Cricetulus griseus: one gene and its partner. The protein of the gene in region 1 purifies or fractionates together with the protein of each later gene. This does not show direct contact. Links are inferred from orthologs where the notes say so. Each region holds a gene or a part of one and is shown in the gene's direction. Other genes may lie near its edges.

What was found. Proteins that work in one complex are often made in the same cells at the same time.
Region 2: the proteins of Ddx17 (region 1) and Drosha purify together in Homo sapiens (co-immunoprecipitation; 3 studies listed by IntAct, with this or other methods). This does not show direct contact. The link is inferred for Cricetulus griseus from reciprocal best matches to the Homo sapiens genes DDX17 and DROSHA.

What each region holds. Positions count from the first base shown.
Region 1 is NC_048595.1:376,715,341-376,719,467, reverse strand, and holds the start of Ddx17 (probable ATP-dependent RNA helicase DDX17), read left to right. Parts: upstream 1-1,325; 5' UTR 1,326-1,535; coding exon 1,536-1,585; intron 1,586-4,127. UniProt on the Homo sapiens protein: As an RNA helicase, unwinds RNA and alters RNA structures through ATP binding and hydrolysis.
Region 2 is NC_048595.1:345,840,781-345,844,911, forward strand, and holds the start of Drosha (ribonuclease 3), read left to right. Parts: upstream 1-1,328; 5' UTR 1,329-1,484; exon of another isoform or gene 1,485-1,488; intron 1,489-2,396; exon of another isoform or gene 2,397-2,506; 5' UTR 2,507-2,618; intron 2,619-4,131. Other genes in the region: C2H5orf22 (UPF0489 protein C5orf22 homolog), read right to left, coding at 133-278, 1,013-1,150. UniProt on the Homo sapiens protein: Ribonuclease III double-stranded (ds) RNA-specific endoribonuclease that is involved in the initial step of microRNA (miRNA) biogenesis.

The sequences.
Region 1 (4,127 bases):
CACAAGCACTTGCCCACTTTTCTATGGCCTCCACCCCCCCATCCCTCCATTTTCTTTTTCCAAGTTAGCAACTGTCTAACAAACATTGGTCATCTGACTCCCTCTCTACAAATTCTGAGCCAAGGAATATGTTGGTTCCCCAAGCATTCAGGCAACTAGCACAAAGCCTGGCTCTCCACGACTTTCTCAATCTATGGCTGAAGTGACAAATGAGGCTCCTTTACTTTCCTGGCTTTCCAATAATCTGGGCAACACTCAGAACAGGAGACGACAACACAGCCTCCAAGCTGACAGACTCCCTTCTCCGCATCTGTAGAAATAAGACCAGAGGTATCAAGGACGCAGCAGATTCACAATTCTGTAAATCAAATATGGCCAAGCTTGTGTGGCTTGGCAGTGCGCAGGGATGGCAAGCAAAAGAAAGTAATCTGGGAGTTGGGAGGCGCCCGCAGCCTAGCCTGGCCTGCCTTCCCCCGACTGGGTTTCTGCAGTCGCGGAACCGAGCGAGGCCATCGGCGCCCACCTCAGGAAGGGTGGCCTCTGTGTGAGCGCGCCAACTGCGCCCAGCAGGAACGGTGACAAAAGTCTGTTCGGGAAACGCACGTTACTGAGGGAAACACAGGGCGTCTTTTAACCCTGTTGAGCTGTGGCCGGGTAAAGAGAGCGGCGCGACGCATCCAACATGGCTGCGGCGCCAGCTAGGCGAAAAGCAACGGAAGAAAATGGCGCTGGCATGCGCTCCTAGCTTGGCGAACCCGGGGCGGCGAGGCGAGGGGCCAAGGCCACTCAGATTCTATACCACAGACCCCCGAAACCTGACCAGACAACATGGAGGGCAGCTATTGTGTCTGCACAAGGCCAGCCTCAAGTGCCGTTTGAGCTCGGAATGCTGGGAAAAGTCTATTCTCTAAACAGAATGCGCTACGAAGACTGCGCATCATCGTAATAGTGGGCCGGCCAACCACGCAAACAATGTTACGTTGCGCCGGAGGCGCGCCCCACCCCCAGCCCACGTTCTAGAGTTGGCGGCGCGAGAACGGTACGCCAGTTACGTACACTGCCTTATTTAGGTGGACCGCCAAGGGCACCCATCTCCGTCACGGACGTAAAACGCTTCCTAGAATGTCTATAGCACCGAGCCGAGCCCTCGGGCTCCTCCAGACGCTGTTTACGTAGCGTCTCGGCCGTGCGTAGCGTTAAGTTGGAGCAGTCTCAGCGCCGCCGCCATTTTGTGCAGTCGCTGGGAAGGAAAGGAGACGCCTAAACCGTGGCACCGCCCGGTTTGAGCGTGACCAAATCTCCCCACTGCACTAACAACCCCGATTCTCTGTGTTTTGCTACCGTCTCCGACGAGAGAGGCGGCGACGGTGGCGTCTGCGACGGGAGACAGCGCGTCGGAGCGAGAGAGCGCCGCGCCTGCCGCCGCCCCAACAGCGGAGGCGCCGCCACCATCGGTCGTCACTAGACCGGAGCCGCAGGCCCTCCCCAGCTCGGCCATCCGTGCCCCGCTCCCAGATCTTTACCCGTTTGGGACCATGCGCGGAGGCGGCTTTGGGGACCGGGACCGGGACCGAGACCGTGGAGGGTAAGGGGGAGGTGCAGGCGGGGGGCGGGGTAGCCCGCGGCTCGCGACGTACAATGGCGGCGGTGCGCGGGCCTCGGGCCCGGGCGGGCCCCTCTGCGCACTGCCGTCGTGGCTCGGAGGTGGCAGGCCAGTCGTGTCGCCTCGCTTGGCCTTGCAGCTCATCTGGTCCCTGCACGCCGCAGTGTCTGTCCGGAAAGAACCCGGATGGTTTCCTTTCCGTTATGTCTCCAGGCATCCCCTTTAGCGGGACTGCAGTCGAAAAGGCCTTTTCTGATTGTAAATGAGGTCTTAACTCCTCTTCGGTCATATTTTGGTTCATTGGAAACACATTGGAGTTGAGAGATCCAGAAGTGCAGGCGACATTTTTATTTATTGCCTCTTAAGGATCCAATTCTACTGCAGAATTAACCTTAAGGCCTAAGCTAGGGGATGAAAAAATATATATACATATATATGTATGTATGTATATACACACACATACACAATCAGGAAGCTTAGTGTTTTGTTGCTAGAAAAATTCTTGAATTTTGCCCAGGAATCAGTACGCCTAAAAGCTGTATGCCAACATTGTTCCTGACTCCTAGATAAAAGAAACAATTCACATCTAGATAAACTTCGGGTGCTTTATATTTGGATGCAATAAAGTCTTGGCTGTTTGAGGTTGTGCTCACCTCTAATCCCAGCACTGAGGAGGTAGAGATGGGTAGATCTCTTGTGAGTTCTACATTATGAGTTCCAGGACAGCCACAGCTACATAGTGAGACCCTGCCTCAAAGGGAGAAAGAAAAAGTCTTAAGTAACAAAGCTATTGAAACCAAGAGAACCTCTTGAGGTGGTCCAGGCCAGTGGTCCCATCACTAGAGATCAAAGCAGGAGCTTGGTTACCCAGGCCTGCCTGGGCTACGGTGGGTTTTGTGTCAAAGTAAGGGAATGGTTTCCAAAGTACTAGGTGTGGGGTTGCTTGTAGAAGGAAAGAAAATTTAGTTAGGTTTGTAAAGGTATCTTAATTTTAGAAGCTTAATCTTTTTCTTGATCAAGATTCAAGCAGCGTTAGCCAGCCTGAGATGCCGTGTACCTTTGATTACCACCAGTTGGGAGGCAGAGGCAGGCAGATCTCTGTGAGTTTGAGGCCAGCGTGGTCTACAGAGTGAGTTCCAGGACAGCCAGGGCTACACAGAGAAACCCTGTCTAGAAAAAAAAGAAAGAAAGAAAGATTGAAGCAGTACTAGATTACAGCAAGAATAGGTGCCACATTAAACTCAATTGAGTTAGGCTAAAAAAAAAAAAAACTCTTAAAATTGGGTTTGGGCCATTTTTGCAAGACTGAAAAAACCTGGCTTTCTATTTCTTGGGTGTTTGAAAATTGTGCTGAGAATTTTGCAAGTGGAGTGGAATGGCCAACTCAGAAGCTCTTTCACTGATTGAACTGAAAGTCAGGGCCTTTGGAAAGGGGGCTGATGGGGGTACTTGGCTCTATATGTTTTTCTGTTGTGTTGGTTCAGCAGTGATATGAATAAGTTACTTCAGTTCTGCCTACTGAATGAAATATCCAATGTGTGTCTTAATCTGCCCCATTTGGCCTAGAATGTGCCTCGTTTCAGTGTCCAAGTTGTAGGATCACAAGTGTAGACCTACTACTACACCAGACAGTGACAGAAGAGGGTTTTAGATTGTAGATTTTGCCCCACCTCTCCCCAAACTGGCTGGTCTCGAAATTGAAATTCTTCAAAGTAGCTATCACTGAATTTTCTGAGTCTGTAGTGTTTGACAGGGAATAAGGAAATGAGATTTTAAAATGTCCTATTTGAATATCATCAAAATAAAGCCCTCTACTTTTACATAGTAAGGCAGATAAGGGTGATATTTGGATTATTCTAGGAACAATTAGTTTCTATTTTCATGCAAGTGGCTGTATCTGTATTCTTGTTTGACTTACCTGTTTATTGTAAAGGGTATTAAAAAAAAAAAAAAGACATAAGGCCAGGCAGTGGTGGCGCACGCCTTTGATCCCAGCACTCGGGAGGCAGAGACAGGTTGATCTCTTGAGTTCGAGGCCAGCCTCTTCTACAAAGCTACACAGGAAAACCCTATCTCAAAAAAGAAAAGAAAGATGAAGGCTAGAGAGGAAAGGATTACAACTCTTTGTTCTGGTTCTTTTGAATACACTAAAGGTGAACGCTAGTTCCTTATGTCCTGGTAGTTTGCAGATCATTGAGAAGTGCTTGCCACAGCAAGTGGGGGAAGTTGGCTAAGTCCACAAACTTGGTTTTATTCTATTGCAGAATCTCTAGTACCACTTAAAAAACTACACTGGGGTTGGTAGCCAGTGATTTTGCTAAATGGATAAGTCAGTGGCAGTGCTGTCCTCTGCATAGAAAACTAAGGTTCAAAGAAGTAAAGTTTGTTCCCAGAGTACATATACATAGTAAGTTTCAGACTTAGAATTCAAGCCTTGTCAGGTCCAGAATCTATGCTGGACATTGAGATTATAGTAAGATGAATGGTCTTTCAAAAGGGCTTTCCAGAAACCATCACTTCACAT
Region 2 (4,131 bases), about 31 Mb from region 1:
ACAAAATAAAAAAGGCAAACAAACAAATAAAAAAAAAAACCCAAACATGAGTGTGGCAAAGTCTATTGCTTTATTATCTGCTACATCTTATATTTCAAATACATAAAATATGATGAAAAAATATCGCGTTACCCAAAGAGTGCTTCCTTATCAAACACAGTGTCTGCTGGCATATTCACAGGGATGAGGAGGTCTGGATGTGAGTCAAAATGTAAAAAGCGTATATTACTGGCAGGAAGATGCTTCGAACCAATGGCCCGGTATATGAAAGGCAGAACCTGTAACAGAGACGCGGACACACTGAGAAATTCACATTGTCAAGTGCAGACTCAAATAAATAAATAAATAAATAACTGCACAAACTTGAAGAACCATGTTGTTATATAAAATTTCTTTACTGTAGATGGCTCTGATGAATATCTCCGTCTTTATCACCCAGAACCACTCACTCCAGCACTAAATGAGCTTTAGGACATTTTGTGTCCCTTTAGGATGGTGAAGCTAGGCTGGATGACTCCTTCACCCTATCTGTCCAGGTTTACTGCTAAATTTGAAAGCACAGACTTTCAAATTTGTTGACTTTCTTTTCCTCTTGTTCCATCAGTAAGTCCCCTTGCCCCACTTTTGCCTGGGAGGAGGGGTTGAACCCAAGGTCTGTGGCAAACACTGTACCACTGAGCTTCATCTAGACCAAGTCTCCTACACCCATGGACCTCACTGGCCGTCAACCAGAAGTCTACGTAAGGTACCCACGTTACCACAGCACTGCCAAACGTTAACAAAGCCTGAAGATTTAGACCCCAGTTACAGCTCTATAACAGGATCTACAACTATGGTCCCCATTTCACAGCCGAAGGTGCACGTTCTTGGCCAACCCTCTCATCACACAGCAGAATGATTCGTTGGCAGGAGACAGGCGGGCAGCCAGCGTCAGATGCTGGTCAAGGCTCTGCAGGTCGCCAGGGTTCGAATCCCTCCTGTCATGGCTCGGGGGCGCCTGCTGCCGGCTCACCTCCTGGTGATCCTCCACCACCCACACCGGGAGCCTGGGGTAGCGCCTGAGGCGCGTGTGGTCGCCTCCGGGGTCACTCATGTCTTCACGCGACTCAGGCCGCGGTGACCCAGAGAAACCCGGAGAAGCACCCGGCATCTCCAAACCGCGCGCCCCACTGCCCTTTCGCGGCGGAAACGCGCGCTCACCCGGTTGCGCTTCCGGATTGGAGGACGTCAATGTGGGGGGGCGGGTGTGAGAACGATAGGCAGTGTCGATTGGTCTAGGTGTCCGTCACTCTAGCTGACCCGCCAATCACGGCGCCAAAGGTGCTGCGCTGTGCACCGCAGAGTTTTCCCTCCCTAGGCTCCTCTTTTTCAGGTTTGCTTTTTAATTCCCGGTGTTTCCTGTTCCGGAGGCGCGGGCGGCGCCTGTGCCGTGGAGGCTGTTGTAGTAACCAGGCTTGGCTCTGGCGGCGACCCGGGGACTCTCTGTAGGTAAACGGGGGCGCTTGGTGGGTGTTTGGAGAGAGAGCATCCAGGGCTGGGCGAAGTGATCCCGGGAGTTGGGTCTGGCGGCCTCGGAACAGATCTGCCGCCGAGGGAGAAAGAGCTACCCTAGCTACAGATCCCACAGAAACGCAGGAGAGGGATGGGGTGGGCGCCTTTCGTCTGTTTGTGGAGCTCAAGCTACGGCCCAGGCCCGGGGCCACCCGGGGCGGGAGGGGCGGCGAGTCCCGGAGTCCCGCGCTTACCTCGCAGGCTGGCGGGAGATGCAAACCAGCGAACGGGCAATTGAGCATCCGCCAGGAGGAGGCCGGGCTTCAGGGCTCAGCCATGGCAACGTGCGGGGTCTCAGTTGACTTGTATGTAGTCACACCTTGAAACTCCATGTGTCCATTGACGTTCCGGACTGTATAGTGTTCAGAATAGCTCCCTCGGTTTCCCTGCTTTTAAACGGCAGCCCAGGAATAGGCATTTTCCATTTACATTGAATTCATTGACTTGAATTGAACTTTGCATCCATAATACAATGGTTCAGTATTTTTTAGCTTTTCTGACTGTAGAAACGCCCAGGGTGGTCTGGTAGTGAGTGTTCCATTCCAGTTTTACTTTGTTCAGAGGTGTTAATTACCCTGACTGTTGCCCACCTCTAGCTTCAGTATATTCCTTTTTGTTATCTTGGACACTTTACACCCTTATTTTCTTGTGTTTATCAAATTGAATTTTTCTTTTTGTAATGTTGGAGATATTTTATTATTATTTAAGCATTTGTTTACGGGTTTTGAGATCCTTGAGCCTTGCAGGTTTGTGTGCCATATTTGTCTACAGAGCTCGGGACAGTGCCTCATGTGTATTGGGTCAATACATGATGCAGGAGTCAGTGAAAAATGTCCGCTTCCCAGTTGGTTTCCCAAATGCAGATTTGTGGGAGAAGCAGAAGGAAAATGCAAACTTAGTGACACAGAAACGCACACAACGAGAGTAAAACCTGCCTGCCATTTATTGTGTGTAGAAGCTGTGAAGGATGCAGAAGTGACTGAATGAAGCCATGATTTCAAGGATCTAGTAACATAACGAAGGAGTTCAGCATGGGTACCCATGACTGTTACATGAGGCAGTTTCTGGTAAGTTCTGTAAAAGGAGTGAGTCGCTTTGTAGACCCTGTCTGGAAAAAACAAAATAATAATAATAATAACAATAACAAAAAGAAAGTATAGACTAAGCAGTAGCAGTCTAGAAGGGATGAGATTATGTTCCCAAAGAAAATCAAGAATGCTTCACAAATGAGGTTCAATAAGAGGTTGGTGGATGGATAGGAATTCACTGGACAAGTTAGGGAAGTTTCATGATAGTGCTGGGTATGTCAACTCATGAGGCTCACAGGGCTTGGTGGAGATGGAAATAGGATGATGAACCTGGGAGAGATTGGGTTCAGGTTCAGATGCAGAGCATGGAGTTTGTACTGAGTTCGTTCTTTTGGCTGTGAGGAGCCTGAGGTGCCAATGGTAGCTCTTTGGCTCCCAAGTTGAATCATGAGAGTATTAGAATGAGGAGTATTATTTGGTAACTATGTTTATTAGATAGTAATTGGTAGAACTCAGTTATTTGTCATTTTTTTTTTTACCTTGTCAGTTCGAGAAGAAAGGCAGGCATTTTTAAAAAGTTTATTTATTTTTATGTATGTGTATCTGTATGTTCGTATATATGTGCATTAGTCAGGGTTCTGTAGAGTTAAAGAACTTCTGTATGTACAGAAAAGGGATTTATGAGAATGTCTTACAGACTGTGGCTCAGCTAACCCAATAATGGCTGGCTATGAATGGAAAGTCAGGAGTCGCTCAGTCCTTGAGGCTGGCTGTCTCAGCCAGTCTTCATTATATTCTGGAATCCTGAATAAGTGGGCTCTAATGCCAGTGAAGGAATGGGCTTGCCAACAAGGCGAGGGCAAACAGGCAGAGAACAAAAGTTTCCTTCTTCAGTGTCCTTATATAGGCTTCTAGCAGAAGGTGTGGCCCATAATCGATCTAAATTACAGATCTGAATTAAAGGTGTGTCTTTCTACCTCAAAGATGTTCTTTCAAAGTAGATCTACCCCCTTCAAATTAAGAAAATCTCTCACAGGTGTGCACCCTGTATAGTTAAGATGACAACCAAGAAATAGCCATTACAGTATGCCTACATTAGTGGTTGTCAACCATGGGTTTCGACCCCTTGGGTCAACAAAGTGATTTCATGGTTGGGGTCACTGCAATGTGAGGAACTATATGAAAGGGTTACTTACTGCATTATGAAGGTATATGAATGTATTTGAATGTATGCATGTGTGCAGGTGCCTCCAAAGGCCAGAAAAGGGTATTGTATGTATCTCTTGGCAATTGTGAGCCACCCAACTTGGGTGCTGGGAACTGAACTCTGCAAGAGCAGCAAGTGCTCTTAACTGCTGAGCTAGTCTCAGCCCCTAGAAAGATGTTTCCACATTAAGGCCTTTTGTGTTTAGTATTTGTGTACTTTTTAAAGCATTTTGCCAAAGTTCAATTTATGTTGGCATTGTTCTTCTGTGGGACGAGCTGAGAATGAAGGTAAAGAATTGTAACTTGTGTTAGCAAGATTGTGGGTCTATTTGAATTTGAATGCAGG